Callithrix jacchus: one gene and its partners. Each later gene encodes a partner of the first gene's protein in a complex. Links are inferred from orthologs where the notes say so. Each region holds a gene or a part of one and is shown in the gene's direction. Other genes may lie near its edges.

Region 1 (4,424 bases):
AGGTTTCCTTTCAATAAAGAAGTGAGGGCTGGGGAGGTATGATCACAAAACTAGAAGAAGTGTGGCATGATTAAGTCTCTGGTTTCTTAGATCACGTGAGCAAGTGCCGCTATTCTTTGGATCAACATTTGATTCTCCATTTCCTTCTTGGAATATAGATAGTTGCTTCAGGTCGTGAAAAAATACATTCAGTGAAATGAAACAGTAGATGTTCACTAAAAAACTAAAAAGAAAAGTTAGCCATAAACTATCTTATTCCATTGAAATGTTTGGCTGAACACATAAGAATGTTGATGAGGCATTCTTGGATGCCTGTACTGAAATAAACCACAAGAGGAATATTTAGGATATGTTGAAGAGGCTATTTGGCTTAATGAACAAAGGAGTTTCTGCAGGACCAGGGAGTGGAATAAAATTGGCACGATCATTTTGGAGAATATATGGAGTCAAACAGAAAATCAGAATGGAGTTTTCAAAGAGGATATGTTAGGGAATAAAGGCTGATAAATAACACTTGTATTTGTAGGAAAATAGGGAGAGTGAATCAAGGAATTCAAAGGGAAAGAGAAACTCACTTCGAGTAGGGGAGAAAAAAACCCTATAATTTTCACTCTTCTTTGTAGGTAAAAAGAAAACAAATGAAAATAAGATATCAGATGTTAGTAAGAATTTACAGGAGTATAAAGTTGGTTTTATGGACGCAAAGCCCTTTTCATTGCTGTACGAAACTCTTGGCTGCATGCTAACTATGGACATCTGATCTCCTCACAGCTGTATTCTGCTGTTTTGTGCTCTTGGCTTGTACCTTGTACCCTAGGCCTGTGGGAAACCAGCACCGTCCCAGGGTTCTGGAGGGTAGGCCAAGGTTAGATACTGGAGTGGGTTATTTAATTTGTTGTGCTGATTCTTCTTAGGGAAGAATGAAGATTGCTTGTTAGAACTGTAGCTCTGAGAGATGACTATGAAATATTAAATTGACTCCAATAGCCTGAGTCATTTTGAAAACTCCCAAGCTCAGGATAAAAAATATAATCCTATTTAGAAATTCTTGATGTGATCACTGATGTGGCATTTCCACAAAACCTGTAAATTAAAAATTACATAATCCAAAGTCAGTTAAATAGTAAGATATTATAACAAATTCTTTTATTTCGTTAGTCTTTCAAACTGTGGGTAACTACACCCTCAACCCAGGGATTTTAAGTTTTTTCCACTGATGGCTAAAAACCAATGGAAGTAACTCTAGTCCTGGTAGCAGCTTACTGTGGGGTGACCTACCTTTGAAGTAATTTATTGATTCTAGCTGATTCTTACATTGTTAGTCATCAAGTTAGGCTTGATGAGAAATGTATATAAATTGAATTGGGGATTCAAGTATTATGTTGCATTTCTCCTCACAACTAGAGATAAATTTGCCATCATTTTTCCCTTCATAGGCTCATGCCAAAATCTGGCATCTCTACAATACTTCTTTCCGTCCCACTCAGGGAGGCCAGGTGTCCATTGCCCTAAGCTCTCACTGGATCATTCCTCAAAGTATGACCAACCACAACATCAAAGAATGTCAAAAATCTCTGGATTTTGTACTAGGCTGGTTTGCCAAACCCATATTTATCGATGGTGACTATCCCGAGAGCATGAAGAATAACCTTTCATCTCTTCTGCCTAATTTTACTGAATCTGAGAAAAAATTCGTCAATGGAACTGCTGACTTTTTTGCTCTTTCCTTTGGACCGACCTTGAGCTATCAACTTGTGGACCCTCACATGAAATTCCACCAATTGGAATCTCCCAGCCTGAGGCAACTGCTTTCCTGGATTGATCTTGAATATAATCATCCTCAAATATTTATTGTGGAAAATGGCTGGTTTGTCTCAGGGACCACCAAGAGAGATGATGCCAAATGTATGTATTACCTCAAAAAGTTCATCATGGAAACCTTGAAAGGTATGATTGTGGGTAAAGTTCTCATTTCCTGCCAAAATCTTAATCGTTTATGAAGATTATCTAATATAAACCATGTGAATTTATATTTTTAAATCCTAATGAAGACATGTATTTTGGCAATAGTAGGAATGCATTCATGTACCACCTTTCTCATTTGGAATCTTGAGGAACGTGAGTTAATTTTTAAACACCCACTTATAAATGAGAAATTGGGTTATAATATTTGTAATTACTTAACTTTCAGAGTTACTACTCTAGATTTTTAGATTAAATCAAACATAAAATAAATCCCAGGATATCTAGCTCTCTGCGCATGTTTTCCAGTTCTTGTTATTTTGGTTGAATAAAACACTCTTTAAAGAAGAAGGAATGTCCATGTTTCCTAAAGAAAATAGCAAAATAGCATAAATGGAGCATGCGTTTAAAGCCTTTGTTTATTTATGGTGTCAGGCACAATACTGGGTGTCTAGGATAGACGTCTTGGTACAAGATGTCTTTCCTAGGTTGTAGAACATCTATTATGTATAAGGAACTATTCCATCAAGGGGCTCAGGAATCCAAAAAACGTATTGGAGATAAACCTATTTTGAGGGCATTTATTTGTAGAGTTATATGGGTTTAATTAGAGTCTTTTGTCAAGAAGAAAAATCACTGATTTACCAAACAAGAAGCCTTACCTTTTATTTATTTAAGGAGAACGCTCAGATGCTCTTGAATCACGATGCAAGTGCCCAGCAAAGGGTCATGTTGCTCTTGTCCCCTCTTCCCTTTGCAGCCATCAAGCTGGATGGGGTGGATGTCATCGGGTACACTGCATGGTCACTCATGGATGGTTTTGAGTGGCACAGAGGTTACAGCATCAGGCGTGGACTCTTCTATGTCGATTTTCTAAGCCACAACAAGACGTCGTTGCCAAAGTCTTCAGCCTTATTCTACCAAAAGCTGATAGAGAAAAATGGCTTTCCTCCTTTACCTGAGAATCGACCCATAGAAGGGACATTTCCCTGTGACTTTGCTTGGGGAATTGTTGACAACTACATTCAAGTAAGTCAGCTGACAAAACCAATCAGCAGTGTCACCAAGCCCTGTCTCTAGTAAGTAGTGCTTCCTTCCTAGGCGGATTGTCATGACACACTGTCCACTTTTTGAGCCCAAAGCGATTCCTTATGAGCACAGTAGGGGCACAGTTTGGAATGCTGCACCCTTCTCTCCAAAAATCTTCCAGTCTTCATCTTGTTAAGTTAGATCCAAAGGGAAATCAATTTAAAACATGCAAATGTTTAAGATCCGACTAAGACAGTAAAAAGATAAAACACTCTTTTTTCATACTGTGGTTTTTGATCCTTTTTAAAGCAGTTGAATTTTTTCATGAACAGAATCTAACACAGAACTCCAAAGCCTCCGAATTTCAGTGGTGCTGCTGAAACTGTGGCAGGAACATTAGGGAGAGTCCTGCAGAGGCACAACTGTAGACCCCACACATGTGCAGAAATACCCCCAAAAACTAAACCCTGGATCCGATGATTCGCTCGTCAGAATGTCTTTTTTAGCAGTAGTCATTGAAATGGTATGAAATTTCTTCACAATGATCCACCAATATGTATTGAGCATCTACTCCTGTTGTAAGCCCTTAATAAAAGTCCCAAATTTTGAAGGGACGTGTTTTTCGGCATTTGATTGGATGCGCTAGTAAGCACTTACTGGATATCTAGTGTGTCCAAAGCCTTGTGTTAGTTGCTGGGGTCTCTTGGTTAAGGGGAGTGCAGTAGAGGGTACACTGAGAAGTGTAAGGGCAACCTTTGCTTTCAAAGGAGCAAAGGAGTCCAATGAGAAAAACTATGCATGCGCAAATGGTGCGATGGAGTGAATGCGGCATGGTGGTAAGTAACCGGGGTGGGGCTGGGGGATTGCTGCTGATAGAGTCCCAAGTGTGAAAATGGCCCTCAAGACAGAGACAGAGTTCAGTGTCCATAGACAAGCAGTTGGCTTTGGCATGTTGGGTTATGGTAGCCAGTTCGTTGGTTCTGCAAATCACAGCTTGAAAGGAAACACTTGGAAGGATGTAAAATGGGTTGCTGTTTTCTTGCAAATGTCAAATTGAAATTTTTTATTTACAAGGAAATAAATTAACACTATCCTTAATACATTTTTTGCTGTCTGGGATTCTTCTTCTTTTTTAGACCATCCAGTTCATTTTACAGGCAGTCTCAGACCTAAGCCCTCGCCTTCCATTTAAAAGATGACTGGATATGTCATCTTTTATGCTAGGATATGTGAGCCCAGGAGAAAGGCTTCTGAGCTCCCTCCTGCTCAGTGTATGATTTTCTGCCCTGCTCCATCTCTCTCCTTCTCCCACAGCCTCCTGCTATTTGGAATCTTCTTATCCTAATTTCCCTCCTCAGAGTGGATTCCACTGTGGGATTCAGAGAGGATCTGAGGTGGGAGAAGTGTGGCTGATGAGGAAGAAGAGGAGAAGG
Region 2 (4,424 bases), on another chromosome or scaffold:
AGAGCTTGTGTAGGGAAACTCCTAAAAACCATCAGATCTCGTGAGATTTATTCACCGTCACAAGAACAGCACGAGAAAGATCTACCCCATGAGTCAGTGACCTCCCACCAAAAACAGGTCCCTCCCACAACACGTGGGAATTCAGGATGAGATTTGGGTGGGGACACAGCAACCATATCAGCCATACCATACTATCCCCTTGTCCTCCTGTGTGCCCACCCTTCCCCATGGAAGGAAACTGTTAGGTACAGGTGTGTGCAAGAATGACCATTCCCTCAGAAGCCTATGCTCATTCTGGAAGGTGCTTTGGGAGTTTGGAGTCCATAAGCTAAGGCAAAGTATTTGCAGAGTTGTGAGAATAGAGTTGTTACTGCAGTGATCAGTAATAAAGTATCAAGCTGGAAGAGGTGCATTTGATCTGCTTATTTTAAAGGTCAGTGAAATCCAGAAAGGCCAGCCAGTGGCAGAAATAGGTCAGTCCTAGAAGTTGGGCCTCCTGTGGTCTTCGGACCACTCTGTATTGCTGAAAGAACATGAGATACACAGAAACGTGCCTCTGCCATTGTTGGGAAGCCCTGACTAGGAATGGAAAGGAGTCGCCCTTGTCCCCGCTCCTTGCTCTAGGGTGACCCCACTCTTCCTTGCAGGTGTCCGCTGACTCCAGTGCGTCCATGAACTCTGGGGTTCTTCTGGTTCGGCCATCACGGCTCTCCTCCAGTGGGACTCCCATGCTAGCAGGGGTCTCTGAGTATGAGCTTCCCGAAGACCCTCGCTGGGAGCTGCCTCGGGACAGGTAACAATGCTTTAACTCCTAACTTTTTGAAGGCATCCTTTGCTTGCTATTCTAGTGGTAGAAGGTGTGTATACTAACACCTTCAGGGCAGTGAAGGTGTGTGAAATGCCTGCAGAAACATTCATTTCCATTTTCTGCTCGAAGTTGGGTGAAATACAGAAGTGGAGATGGGGTGCCTCTCAAAGTTTGAACTTCACCAGCCCCAACTTAATGCCGCTGTCTGTTTTCCCTGAAAGACTGGTCTTAGGAAAACCCCTGGGAGAGGGCTGCTTTGGGCAGGTGGTATTGGCAGAGGCCATCGGACTGGACAAGGACAAACCCAGCCGTGTGACCAAGGTGGCTGTGAAGATGTTGAAGTGTAAGTGATGCTTCTGTCCTTGCAGAGACAATCTTGTCCCATTCCAAGCAAACAGCAAGCCTCAGGCCCAGCAGAGCAGCTTCTCTGGTGCTTTTGCTGCCCACACCTGCTCCCCTGCCTGCTTGGGGTTACCTGGGAGTGGAGGGGGTGTTCTGCACCCTGAGATTGTTCTGTGACCTCACTCTGTTTCTTGGCATCAACCTGGGCTATGGTTAGGTTTTTATCCTGGATCTATCAGTTGCTGACATTTCTCCCCACATCCCTCCCCGCTCACTACCACCTATTGCAACAACTCCCATGAGAGGGAAGGTGGAAGTGGGGAGGAGAGAATCAAGTCCAAGAGAAAAGCGGCCCCTCGGAACATACCCCTCTACCTTAGCCTTTCTCCTGCCCTCCTCCCTTCCAAAAGTAAATGAGTCTCAACATGTTCTTTAAAGCGGATGCAACAGAGAAAGACTTGTCAGACCTGATCTCAGAAATGGAGATGATGAAGATGATCGGGAAGCATAAGAACATCATCAACCTACTGGGGGCCTGCACGCAGGATGGTGGGTCCCGGCCAGGCTGGCCTTCCCTCCCCAGCAGGCAGAAGGTCTGAGCTGTTAGGGAAGGGGGTTGAGAGGCTGCTTTGGCAGAGGTTAAAATGTGTTTCTTGGGGTCTGGGCTCAGCCCATATGTGTTCATCGAAGAATACAGATACCTAGATTCACACACATGGTGTGTTAACAGAGACAGCTGAGTAATTATGGTCTAAATTAGGGTGCTCAGGCTGGGTACAGTGGCCATGCCTGTAATCACAGCACTTTGGGAAGCTGAGGTGGGAGGATCACTTGAGATCAGGAGTTTGAGACCAGCATGGCTAACAAGATCCCATCTCTACTAAAAATACAAGTTAGCCAGGCGGCATGGTGCATGACAGTAATCCCAGCTACTTGGGAGGCTGAGGCAGGAGAATCACTTGAATCTGTAAGGCGGAGGTTGCAGTGAGCCGAAAATTATACCACTGCACTCCAGCCTGGGTGACAGAGCGAGACTCCATCTCAAAAATAAATAAACAGGCTCTTATCCCAACATTGCTTGGGAAATTTCTGGACTATGCCAGGAATAACTATTTATCTGGTTTTCTTAGGGTGGTAGAATGGATTTCCCAGGTCCCCTAAAAGGAGGCAGGAGAGGGGAGGTTGGCTGGGGTGTGCTGCTGGGGGTGGGGTTTCCATGAGGTGATGCCAAACATGCTCACCTGCTGCCGGCTGCATGGCCTCTTCCTCCTATGTCCGCAGGTCCCTTGTATGTCATCGTGGAGTATGCCTCCAAAGGCAACCTGCGGGAGTACCTGCAGGCCCGGAGGCCCCCGGGGCTGGAATACTGCTACAACCCCAGCCACAACCCAGAGGAGCAGCTCTCCTCCAAGGACCTGGTGTCCTGCGCCTATCAGGTGGCCCGAGGCATGGAGTATCTGGCCTCCAAGAAGGTGTGGACCCTGAAAGCTCCCCTGGGTATTGCTGGGGTGGGAACAGAGCCCTCCCAGTCCTCCAGCCTGTGACTTGTCATCTTGTGGTGGCGTTGTGGATGCATTGAGCACGGGCCCTGTGCGTTGTCTTAGGCTCTCTGGCAACCAGAGTCAGGAGAACCAGTGTAGCCAAGTGGCCTTGGGGTCAGACTGCTGTAGGGTCAGATCTGTACACTGCCATTTTCTGTGTAGCCTCTTATAATTCTTCAAGTACAAAATAAGAATAACATCAGCTGGGTGCAGTGCCAAGGCAGGAGGATTGCTTGAGCTCAGGAGTTTGAGACAAGGTTGGACAACAACAGTGAGACCCTGTCTTTAAAAAAAAAATTTCAAAGTTAGCTGGGTGTGGTACTGTGTGCCAGTAGTCCCAGCTACTCCGGAGGCTGAGGTGGGAGGCTGACTTGATCCCAGGAGTTTGAGGCTGCATGAGCCATGATCATACCACTGCAGCAGAGCACGACTATGTCTCGGAGAAAAAAAAGTATAATAATACCTATGTTGTAGAATTGTTATGAGGATAAAATGAAACGATGAGCATTGAGTGCAGTGTTTGGTGTGTAAGCGCTAGCTTGATTTGAGCCCAGCTCAGTGTGGACTTGCTTTGCTGGGAGGCAAGACCTAGGAACCTGCGCAGTGTCAGACAAAGCAGAGGCATAAAGGGCCAGCCTTCGGGGAGGGAAGGGAGGAGCACTTGCTGTGATGATTGAGAAGCCTGGAGCTGGCAGAGAACATTCTAGAAGGGAAAGCAAAGGTTCGGGGCAGAATAGTGTAGGCAGAAGTCTGTGAGGCAAGTCGGCCAGTTGCACAGGTGGTGGCCCCCAGAGCCTTCCAGCTCCCTCACCTCCCTCCCCTCCCCCTGCTCTCCCTTCCTCCTTCCTCAGTGCATACACCGAGACCTGGCCGCCAGGAACGTCCTGGTGACAGAGGACAACGTGATGAAGATTGCAGACTTCGGCCTCGCACGGGACATTCACCACATCGACTACTATAAAAAGACAACCAACGTGAGTGCCAACAGGGCCGCCCCATGCTGGTGGTTTCATCTGAGAAGCGAAGGGTGGGTGGGATGGCTTGAAAACCCACCCCCAGTCCCTTCCCACCTGTGTCACGGCCCAGCCTGGGGCCACCCCAACCTCCCCGGTGCTGCTTGCAGGGCCGACTGCCTGTGAAGTGGATGGCACCCGAGGCATTGTTTGACCGGATCTACACCCACCAGAGTGATGTGTGAGTTTGCAATAAGCAGTTGCCAGGGAGGTGTGGGATAAAGAAAGGATAAAGAACTTCCACCACTGCAGAGTCCTGCATTCCCCCTGGACAGAGGAGTCCTTTCGCCCCAAGAGAAAAGCAAAACATTGTGGCCATTGCCTCTGCTCCAGATGTTGAAAGGATGATCTGTTCCCCACGCTGTCTCCTGGCACTGCCCTGGGTGGAGGATTTGTGCTGGAGGAGGGGAGGCAGAGAAGCTCTAACACCCATAGCTCTGCATCTGTCTGCAGGTGGTCTTTTGGGGTGCTCCTGTGGGAGATCTTCACTCTGGGCGGCTCCCCATACCCCGGTGTGCCTGTGGAGGAGCTTTTCAAGCTGCTGAAGGAGGGTCACCGCATGGACAAGCCCAGTAACTGCACCAACGAGCTGTAAGTCTGAGGAGATGTCGGAGGCCCCAAGCCAGGCCCTGGGGCAAGAATGGGCTTGAGGGGCAGGGGGCTATACTAAAGGGTGTCCATCTCCAGGAGGCAGCCTTTCCTCCCTGACCTTACAGTTCT
Region 3 (4,424 bases), on another chromosome or scaffold:
AGGTATACGGACATCATCCTGTACGTGTCGGGCTCCCTGGCCTTGGCTGTACTCCTGCTGCTAGCTGGGCTGTATCGAGGGCAGGCACTCCACGGCCGGCACCCCCGCCAGCCTGCCACTGTGCAGAAGTTGTCCCGCTTCCCTCTGGCCCGACAGGTATTGGGCGCATCCCCCACCTTGTGTGTTGCAGCCTGACTCTAGCAGGCAGAACCAAGTCTCCCACTTTGCAGTTCTCCCTGGAGTCAGGCTCCTCCGGCAAGTCAAGCTTATCCCTGGTGCGAGGTGTACGTCTCTCCTCCAACGGCCCTGCCTTGCTCGCCGGCCCCGTGAGTCTAGACCTACCTCTCGACCCACTATGGGAGTTCCCCCGGGACAGGTGCGCTGAGCTGTGTGGGGGCGGGGACACGGGCGCTGGGTTGCAACCCACCCTTATCAGGAGTGATTCGGAGGTCTGAGGCATGCACTCTCTCCATCTCCAGGCTGGTGCTTGGGAAGCCCCTGGGCGAGGGCTGCTTTGGGCAGGTAATATGTGCAGAGGCCTTTGGCATGGACCCTGCCCAACCTGACCAAGCCAGCACTGTGGCCGTCAAGATGCTCAAAGGTGAGTGTGGCTGGGTGCAGTGACTCACACCTGTAATGTCAGCCCTTTGGGAGGCCAAGGTAGGAGGAGGATTGCTTGAATCCAGGAGTTTGAGGTAGCCTGGGCAATATGGTGAGACTCCATCTCTACAAAAAGAGTAAGAAAATTAGCTGAGTGTAGCGGTATGTACCTTTAGTCCCAGCTGCTAGGAAGGCTGAGGCAGGAGGATCCTTTGAATCCAGGAGTTGGAGGTTGCAATGAGCCATGATCAAGTCACAGTATTCCACCCTGGGCAACAGAGTGAGACCCTTTCTAAAAATAAATAAATAAAAATAGGCCAGACGCAATGGCTCATGTCTTTGTAATTCCAGCATTTTTGGAGGCTGAGGCGGGCGGATCACGAAGTCAGGAGTTTGAGACCAGCACATCTCTACTAGAAACAGAAAAATTTTAGGCCAGGCACAGTGGCTCACGCCTGTAATCCCAGCACTTTGGGAGGCTGAGGCAGATGGATCATGAGGTCAAGAGATCAAGACCATCCTGGCCAACATGATGAAATCCTGTCTCTACTAAATATACAAAAATTAGCTGGGCATGGTGGCACACACCTGTAGTTTCAGCTACTCGGGAGGTTGATGCAGTAGAATCATTTGAGCCTGGAAGGCAGAAGTTGTAGAGACCCAAGATCACGCCACTGCACTCCAACCTGGTGACAGAGCGAGACTGTCTCAAAAAAACAAAAAAATTAGCCAGGCGTGGTGGTGGTCACCTGTAATCCCAGCTACTCTGGAGGCTGAGGCAGGAGAATCACTTAAACCCAGGAGGCAGAGGTTGCAGTGAGCTGAGACCATGCCATTGCACTCCAGCCCGGGCAACAGAGGGAGACTCCGTCTCAAAAAAAAAAAAAAAAAAAGAGAGAGAAAAGAAAAATAAAAGGTGAATGTGACAGCCTGGAGGCGGTGCTATGGCACTGGGGCTCACGGTGCTACCAGGTGAACCTTGGAGCTGGGAGAGGCTGCAGGATCCCACCCTTAAGCCTGCAATTCAACTCCACTCCTGACCCTGGCAAGTGACTTCTGACCCTCAGTTTCCCCTCGTGTCATGTAGAGTAAATAATGGTCCCTATCTCCCAGCTCAAGAATTGGGGAAAATGCCTGGCTTACAGTCAAGGCCCAATAAATCACCACTGGGGTGGCGATGATGATAAGAATTTGGTGTGACAGGCTTGATATCCCCTGTCAGCATTGGTCTGTGTCAGCCTTGACTTCACATCTCCTTGTCAGCCTCACAGGCCCTCTACCTCCTTCTCCATGGTTCCCCCCAGACACACGCTTAGCTTCCCTTAGATCCTCTCTAGGTGTATCCCCTGCGTCCACTGCTGTAGGAGGACAGCCCTTCTGCTTGCACCCAGTCCAGCCCCAGGGTGCTCTTGCAGAGCAGTCTTGCATGCTGCCCATCAGGGCCTCTTGTTCCAGTTCCCCAGCCCCCTCTGCAAGAATGCCCTCAACTCCTCTTCTGCTCCTCCCCTCCTCTCTACACAGCTGGGGCCACCTGGTGTTCCCTGGGAGGCAGGGATTGAGAAATGTGCATGGTGAGATTGGCGTGTGTGGGTGGGGGGTGTTATGTCATTGGCCCAGGGCCACAGTTCAGCCCCAAGGGTCTAGCCAGAGAAGCCAGAGCAGCCTTCTTCCCAAGCTCCCCTGGCTACACCCTGCCTGCCAATAGCTTCCTGAATTCCAGGCCAGTTGGATGCCAGGCCCTGGTCAAACAGACCCCAGGGCGCCAACCTGCTTTCCACATGCAGGAACTTTGACCCCATGCAGAGACTACTGCCAGCCCCTCCAGAGGCAGCTTGCTTCCTGCTCCAAGCTCTTCCCTCTCTCCTGTTTCCTGGACCTGCCCACTGGAGGACCTGCCTTTTTTTTTTTGAGATGGAATCTCTCTCTGTCCCCCAGGCTGGAGTGCAGCGGTATGATCTCAGCTCACTGCAACCTCTGCCTCCTGGGTTCAAGCAATTCTCCTGCCTCAGCCTCCTGAGTAGCTACAGGCATGCACCACCATGCCCAGCTAATTTTTCTATTTTTAGTAGGGTCAGGGTTTCACCATGTTGGTCAGGCTGGTCTCGAACTCCTGACCTCGTGATCCACCTGCCTCAGCCTCCCAAAGTGCTGAGATTACAGGTGTGAGCCACTGCACCCGGCCCTAGGCCTGCCTCTTATATCCTTGATAAAATGGCATCCTTGAAACTGCTGTGACAGGTAGGGTGTGAACCACTGCTCCATTTCCCACAAGACGACCCTGAAATTCAGAGATGCTAGGAGACTTTTTCAAGGCCACACAGCCTAGCAAGGATTGTGGCCTAGGTGACCCCTAGGTCCAGTGCTCCTTGTCCTGGCCCTGCCTCTGCAGTCTCCCTCATGTAGTTGGAGGGCAGCTTCTTCACCCCGTCTGCTGCCTTTGCAGGCAATGCTTCTGACAAGGACTTGGCAGACCTGGTCTCAGAGATGGAGGTGATGAAGCTGATTGGCCGACACAAGAACATCATCAACCTGCTGGGTGTCTGCACCCAGGAAGGTGGGGCAGAGGCGGGGCTGGTGGCATGGGCCATTAGGGCTCAGAGCCACAGCTTTGGCAGCCTCTCCGTGCACTCCCTCCGTAGGGCCCCTGTATGTGATCGTAGAGTGCGCCGCCAAGGGAAACCTGCGGGAGTTCCTGCGGGCCCGGCGCCCCCCAGGCCCCGACCTCAGCCCTGACGGTCCTCGAAGCAGTGAGGGGCCACTGTCCTTCCCAGTCCTGGTCTCCTGCGCCTACCAGGTGGCCCGAGGCATGCAGTATCTGGAGTCTCGGAAGGTATAGGCGGTGGGGCTCTGGGCCTCTGTCAATCTCTCCATCTCCACTCTTAGGCCTGTGGCATTAAATGTCCCCAGCTTCTCCCTCTCTGCTCTTTTTCATTACCCCACCTCAATGTCCCCAAGCTTTCACACCTTCCCAAATTCCCCACTTGTTCCTCACACTTGCCTCGCCCATAGGCTCGGAGAGGGGAGAAGGGATGCAGGAGTGGGTGCTCCCCCTTTCTAAACCTCAACCTCTATCTGTAAAGTGGGTGGAGGGCCCCTTCCCCCAGGCCTGCTGGTGGGTGGTGTGTGCTCAGCTCCCATCCAGGAGTCCTGTTGCACGCAAACTCTTCCTCCCCCGCAGTGTATCCACCGGGACCTGGCTGCCCGCAATGTGCTGGTGACCGAGGACAATGTGATGAAGATTGCTGACTTTGGGCTGGCCCGGGGTGTCCACCACATTGACTACTATAAGAAAACCAGCAATGTGAGGGAGATGGGCAGAACTGGATGGGGGTAGAGATAGGGCTGGGCCTGGGGCTGGCAGGCTTGGGGACCTGTGGGACTCTGTACTGAGGCCTCCGCTCCTCTCCAGGGCCGCCTGCCTGTTAAGTGGATGGCGCCCGAGGCCTTGTTTGACCGAGTGTACACACACCAGAGTGACGTGTGAGTCCTGCCAGCCGTTACTGTCCTACCCCAGAAAAAGGGCAAAACACTGCCCAGTCACATGGCCCCAGGAGTCAGGTGCTCAAGGGCTCCTTCAGATTTGGCCTGGGACCCGAGTGGGACCAGCCTCGGGGGAGTCCATTCCTCACCAGCTGTGGTGGGTTGTACCTGTGGGGTTCCTCCATCCTAACCTTGGTTGTAGGGAGGACGCTGAGCCCCACTGAGCCCTGGCCCTGTCTCCAGGTGGTCTTTTGGGATCCTGCTGTGGGAGATCTTCACCCTCGGGGGCTCCCCATACCCTGGCATCCCAGTGGAGGAGCTGTTCTCACTGCTGCGTGAGGGAC
Region 4 (4,424 bases), on another chromosome or scaffold:
TGAGTTGATCGGTCAGTAAACTTAATCCGGCTCCTTAACAAGATGGGCCGGGCAGTAAAAATACAAAGACCTCGTGAAATGTACGGAGGTCTAGGCTGGTGCTTGCCCAGGAACATAAATTGTGGAGCCTGAGCTGGCAGGAGTCAAGGGCAGTGGGGAAGGTTTTGGCCGCTGGACTGCCTGAGCCACCACATGCCCGGCCAGGGCAGCCTCCATCTCGCCAGGGGACCGTGTTCCTGGTTGGGACCTGGGGGTGCAGGGCCTTTCCCTAAGGTGCTGGTGGCCACCTCCCCTACCCCACCTCCCCTACCCCTCCTTTCCAGGGCTGGACTTTGAGCCGCGTGGGCCTCTGGGTGGTTCATTAACTCGGGCCGAGCCTGGCCTCCGGGTCCTTGTTTGAGCGTAGCAACCCCTGTTTACCCACCCCCCACCCCCAGCCCTCAGGTCTCACTTGGGGCTAGAACTGGGGCTGGGGCACCCCTTGTTACAGTTGAGCTTGGGTGGGAGCCCAGGGGCTTGGTGTCTCCTGGAGGATGGGGGTCCAAAGTCGCCCTGTCTAGAAAGGCAGCAGCCCTGAGCTGAGTGATTTAGGAGTGAATGAGTGGGGAGTGGAGCCAGCTTTGGTGGAGTGTGGGGGTTAGCCTGGACCTCCAGGCTGCCAGCCCAGGCTCGGGTACCGTCTTGAAACTTCGGTTTCCCCACCTGTCCAAGAGAAGCCGTAGTGGCTGGCTGCTTGAAGGATTAGGCCTGAGAATCCTGGCGAGCTGTCATTAGCGTGCCCAGCTTCGGATCCCTGTTTTCCCGTCTTTATTGTGAAGCTGACAGGAATGTCTACAGGTAGACAGGAAGGGAGGCTGGACTCTTGCTTTTGGCTTCCAGGTTTTTCCAGGCACCTCATTCTCTTAGGCTATGTTATAGCCCTTACCTGGCAATACTTCTGTACCCCAGAGAGCTGCAGAGCGCTTCATGTGCATCCAAAACCAGAACGTGGGGTTCCCTGACCCCAGGCCCTCAGCTTACCCCAAAACCCAAGTAAACCCCTCGGGGTAGCCAGCTCTGGACTGGAGTCTGAATTTCATCCTTGCTCTCTGGGGCCAATCCAAGGGGCTTATGATGGAGCAGTGCTCCCCAACCCTCTCACCCGGGCTCCCCACATGCACTGGGCCTCCTCTGCAGTGCCCCAGAACCTGGAGAAAGGTTCCCCAGGCCGGAGTGTGACTGTCGCCAACACCGTGGCCTGATGGACATCAGTTCCGGGTCAAGGGGCCCTGGGCAGGGAGTGCCTGTCACCCCTCGCTCCTCCAGCCACTTAGCAGGGTGTGGCGGCCCCTGTGGTCTGTGAGGTGGGATTTTATATTGTGCCACAGTGGGGAAACTGAGGCACAGGACCATGCCCCCCCAGGTCCAGCACGGCCCTTTTGGGACACAGCAGAGGGCTGTTCCCAGCACGTGGGGCCCAGGTTGAGGTGGGCACTGTGTGGGTTTGTGATGTGTAGATGGGTGGGTGATGCGGGTTGTGGCCCCCTGCCCCGCCTTGGGTATGCAGGAGTTTTTTCTTGGGCGTGTGTGGGCACCAGTGCTTTTGTGGTGCCAGTGGGGTCCCCCTTTTGTTGGTCAAGAAAGAAATAACCCTTCTTGGGGCCACTGGGGGGATATAGTTGCCCCTTGCCTGGCAGCTGGATGGGGCATGGGGGCTCCACTCAACTGCTGACTCCCCAGGGAGAGTGAGGCCCTGAGCTCTTAGTGTCCCCCACCCCTGTTCCTGTCTCACAGTCTTTCACCTGGTGTTCCCCAGTCAGCCCCTGCTGGGGTGCCCTGGCCTCTGCTGGCACCAAGCAGGCAGGCGGGGGGCATTCAGGGCTCCACCCTCCCCCCTCCCCCGACACAGGCAGATGGCCACCAGCATGGCTGGCCTGGTGCTGCTGTGTCCCCCGTCCCCCGCTGGACCAGGCTGAAGCGAATACTTGTGCGGATGGCTTGACCTGTTGTCACCACCCAGACCAAACCGGAACCAGCAGGCTGTTGCCTTTGGGCCAGGGCCTGCAGCTGCGGCTGCCATGACCAGCCTGTTCCCGGCCTTCTGGGGAGCTTCAGACAGCTCCCAGCTCTGGGTGGTCCCCACAAGACACTGGCCAGGGCCAGAGGGCTGGAGGTCAGGCCAGGTGCCCCTCTGACTGTGGGGTCCTCACAGGGGCAGTCCAGGAGCTGTGGGTCCCTGTGGCGCGAGGGCTCCCTTGGATGCTTCCGGGGATGAGTGTGGCCCTTCCGGTTGATAGGGTCACTCTGGGTACTGGGGGCGTGCGGCTGGCTTCGGTGGATTGGGCAGAATTGGGCCTGGCCAGGCAGCCAGGGACTGGTGTGGCCAGCGTGGGCAGCTGGGCCCCCAAATCTAGGCCACGCATCTGCAGAATGACAAGTGATGGCGCAAGCGGCCCAGCTGGGTCTGAAGGAGGACGCTGCCTGGGGGACCAGCCGCCCCCGCCCCGGCCCCAAGCCCAGACCACCCGCCTGCATGCGTTATCTGGCCCTGGCAGGGGACCTAGGGGTGATGGTCCCCCAGCCCCACCTGTGGTGTGTCCTTGGGTCACAGGCTTTGGTGGCCCTCGGGAACTGGGTAGCTACTGGGCAGGGGGAGGGGGCCAGGGCCACCTGCACATCTGCCCCTGTGTGTGGGCCCCCACCCCAGCTTCTCAGCCCCCGGGGAGGGGCCGGGGCTGCTGCCCTGTGGCACCGCCTGTGTCTCTCACAGCTTCCTGTCCCCAGCCTGGTCCTCTCCTGTGAGGGCGTCCCACTCCCAGCCCCCAGCCCATGGACCCACTGGGCTGGCCCCGGCGTCGTGTTGTACTTTGCTTTTCTCTGTGTGTTTTCTGTGGTGGTCAGTGTGGAGCTTACCCAGGAGCTGTAGGATGCAGAACCCTATCCATGCCAGGGAGCCCCTGCCCCCGCCCCGCCACCTCGCACTGCTCCAGCCTGGCTCTGCCTGGTGAACCTGCCCGCTGCCCCCGGCTTCGTCCACTCAGCCGTCTGACCCTGCACCTCCTTTCTCGTCCGTTCTCTTCCCTTGTTGACATCTGAACTCCACCTCAGGCACATACAGGGTATGGGGGCTGCTGAGAGGGACCCCTCCTTGGGTGCATCTGCACTGCCAGGGGGCTGGCTGGCCACCCTGGCACCCCTTCTGAGCTTCATCTCAGCGGGGAGCCAGCAAAGGGCAGCCTGTCCCCTTTGTCCCCAGGACCTGTGGCCGTGGGGCCACCTGTGAGCCAAGCATGGATTTTATGTTTCAAAGCAGTTGAACAAATCAAAAGAATGAAGAGTTGCACTCTGTGGTGCTTTGAGATTCGAATTCCCCGTGTCCAAAAGTGAAGCTTTGTGGAGGCGCGGCCCTGGGTTGGCTGCAGCTTGTGTGGGCACAGCGGCTACCACACCAAGGCAGACCCAAGTCCTTGGCACAGAGACCGGCTGGCAAAGCTGAAGATGGAGACCTCTGGCCCTTTTGGGGCTCAGCTCCAGCCCCTGGTCTGGTGGGACCCCAGATCTGGGTCAGGGCCACTGAGGCCTCCACTACTGTGTCTATAAATGTGCCGGGTTTGGGGGTACCTGCCTCATGGTCACGGGTCTCGCCTGCAGAGGTCCCAGGCCTGGAGCCCGGCCAGCAGGAGCAGTTGGTCTTCGGCAGCGGGGACGCGGTGGAGCTGAGCTGTCCCCCGCCCAGAGGTGGTCCTGTGGGGCCCACGGTCTGGGTCAAGGATGGCGCAGGGCTGGTGCCCTCGGACCGCATCCTGGTGGGGCCCCAGCGCCTGCTGGTGCTGAACGCCTCACAGGAGGACTCTGGGGCCTACAGCTGCCAGCAGCGCCTCACACAGAACGTGCTGTGCCGCTTCAGCGTGCGGGTGGCAGGTGAGCTTTGGGCCAGCCAGCTGCAGAAGGGAGTGGGTGCTGGGCTCCCTGAGTCCCCACGAGGGCCAAGAGCCGCTGGGTGTCTCGGCCACGGGGCTGCAGCACCCCTGCCCCAAGGGTCATTGGTGGAGAGGAAGGCACCCCCAGGAAGTGCTGCCCGAATGGGGGACCCTGTCTCACCTGGGAGGGGCACCTGGGGGCCTCCTGGGGCAGGTCGGGCACTGGAAGCAGCTGTCTCTGCCTTGTAGACGTTCCATCTTCAGGAGATGATGAAGACGGAGAGGATGAGGCTGAGGACACAGGTGCGGACACAGGTGGGAGCAGGGTCGGGTTCAGGCTGGCCAGGGTGGGGCCTGCTGCCACCACTAAGCCCTGCCCTCCACAAGCAGCTGAGGGACCGAGGTCCCTGGGGTCACCCCGAAGGTCAGGTCTCCTCAGGATGCAGGAGGGGCTGGGCCACTGAGATGGCTCTGGACGCCCAGCCCTGGCTCCCTGGTGGCAGGGCTGGGGTGTGAAGGGATACC

The links. Proteins that work in one complex are often made in the same cells at the same time.
Region 2: the proteins of KL (region 1) and FGFR1 are in contact, whole or in part, in a cryo-EM structure (PDB 7YSH), measured with the Homo sapiens proteins. The link is inferred for Callithrix jacchus from reciprocal best matches to the Homo sapiens genes KL and FGFR1. Residues at the interface, in NP_004786.2 of Homo sapiens: Ser539, Gln540, Phe541, Asp543, Leu544, Asn545, Val546, Tyr547, Leu548, Trp549, Asp550, Val551, Lys555, Arg556, Leu557, Val560, Val563, Thr565, Lys566, Arg568, Tyr571, Val573, Ala576, Glu625, Arg628; in NP_075598.2 of Homo sapiens: Asn272, Gln288, Leu290, His292, Ile293, Asn296, Gly301, Pro302, Leu305, Pro306, Tyr307, Val308, Gln309, Ile310, Leu311, Lys312, Glu322, Leu326, His327, Leu328, Arg329, Asn330, Glu334, Asp335, Thr340, Leu342, Leu349, His351.
Region 3: the proteins of KL (region 1) and FGFR4 are in contact, whole or in part, in a cryo-EM structure (PDB 7YSW), measured with the Homo sapiens proteins. The link is inferred for Callithrix jacchus from reciprocal best matches to the Homo sapiens genes KL and FGFR4. Residues at the interface, in NP_004786.2 of Homo sapiens: Ser539, Gln540, Phe541, Thr542, Asp543, Asn545, Val546, Tyr547, Leu548, Trp549, Asp550, Val551, His553, Ser554, Lys555, Arg556, Leu557, Ile558, Val563, Thr565, Arg568, Tyr571, Val573, Ala576, Gln579, Pro580, Glu625, Arg628; in NP_001341913.1 of Homo sapiens: Asp266, Gln282, Leu284, His286, Ile287, Ile289, Gly295, Ala296, Asp297, Gly298, Phe299, Pro300, Tyr301, Val302, Gln303, Val304, Leu305, Lys306, Asn311, Ser312, Glu314, Leu318, Tyr319, Leu320, Arg321, Asn322, Asp327, Thr332, Leu334, Leu341.
Region 4: the proteins of KL (region 1) and FGFR3 are in contact, whole or in part, in a cryo-EM structure (PDB 7YSU), measured with the Homo sapiens proteins. The link is inferred for Callithrix jacchus from reciprocal best matches to the Homo sapiens genes KL and FGFR3. Residues at the interface, in NP_004786.2 of Homo sapiens: Ser539, Gln540, Phe541, Thr542, Asp543, Asn545, Val546, Tyr547, Leu548, Trp549, Asp550, Val551, Ser554, Lys555, Arg556, Leu557, Val563, Lys566, Arg568, Tyr571, Val573, Ala576, Pro580; in NP_000133.1 of Homo sapiens: Gln286, Leu288, His290, Val291, Val293, Gly299, Thr303, Pro304, Tyr305, Val306, Thr307, Val308, Leu309, Lys310, Glu320, Leu324, Ser325, Leu326, His327, Asn328, Val329, Glu332, Asp333, Thr338, Leu340, Phe347, His349.

The regions. Positions count from the first base shown.
Region 1 is NC_133506.1:152,346,746-152,351,169, forward strand, and holds part of KL (klotho), read left to right. Parts: intron 1-1,436; coding exon 1,437-1,947; intron 1,948-2,722; coding exon 2,723-2,991; intron 2,992-4,424. UniProt on the Homo sapiens protein: May have weak glycosidase activity towards glucuronylated steroids. However, it lacks essential active site Glu residues at positions 239 and 872, suggesting it may be inactive as a glycosidase in vivo.
Region 2 is NC_133514.1:39,242,868-39,247,291, reverse strand, and holds part of FGFR1 (fibroblast growth factor receptor 1), read left to right. Parts: intron 1-647; coding exon of another isoform or gene 648-648; coding exon 649-793; intron 794-1,029; coding exon 1,030-1,151; intron 1,152-1,588; coding exon 1,589-1,699; intron 1,700-2,431; coding exon 2,432-2,622; intron 2,623-3,542; coding exon 3,543-3,665; intron 3,666-3,814; coding exon 3,815-3,885; intron 3,886-4,157; coding exon 4,158-4,295; intron 4,296-4,424. UniProt on the Homo sapiens protein: Tyrosine-protein kinase that acts as a cell-surface receptor for fibroblast growth factors and plays an essential role in the regulation of embryonic development, cell proliferation, differentiation and migration.
Region 3 is NC_133503.1:69,047,642-69,052,065, reverse strand, and holds part of FGFR4 (fibroblast growth factor receptor 4), read left to right. Parts: coding exon 1-156; intron 157-230; coding exon 231-376; intron 377-479; coding exon 480-601; intron 602-3,043; coding exon 3,044-3,154; intron 3,155-3,239; coding exon 3,240-3,430; intron 3,431-3,778; coding exon 3,779-3,901; intron 3,902-4,009; coding exon 4,010-4,080; intron 4,081-4,323; coding exon 4,324-4,424. UniProt on the Homo sapiens protein: Tyrosine-protein kinase that acts as a cell-surface receptor for fibroblast growth factors and plays a role in the regulation of cell proliferation, differentiation and migration, and in regulation of lipid metabolism, bile acid biosynthesis, glucose uptake, vitamin D metabolism and phosphate homeostasis.
Region 4 is NC_133504.1:191,353,456-191,357,879, reverse strand, and holds part of FGFR3 (fibroblast growth factor receptor 3), read left to right. Parts: intron 1-3,630; coding exon 3,631-3,900; intron 3,901-4,148; coding exon 4,149-4,214; intron 4,215-4,424.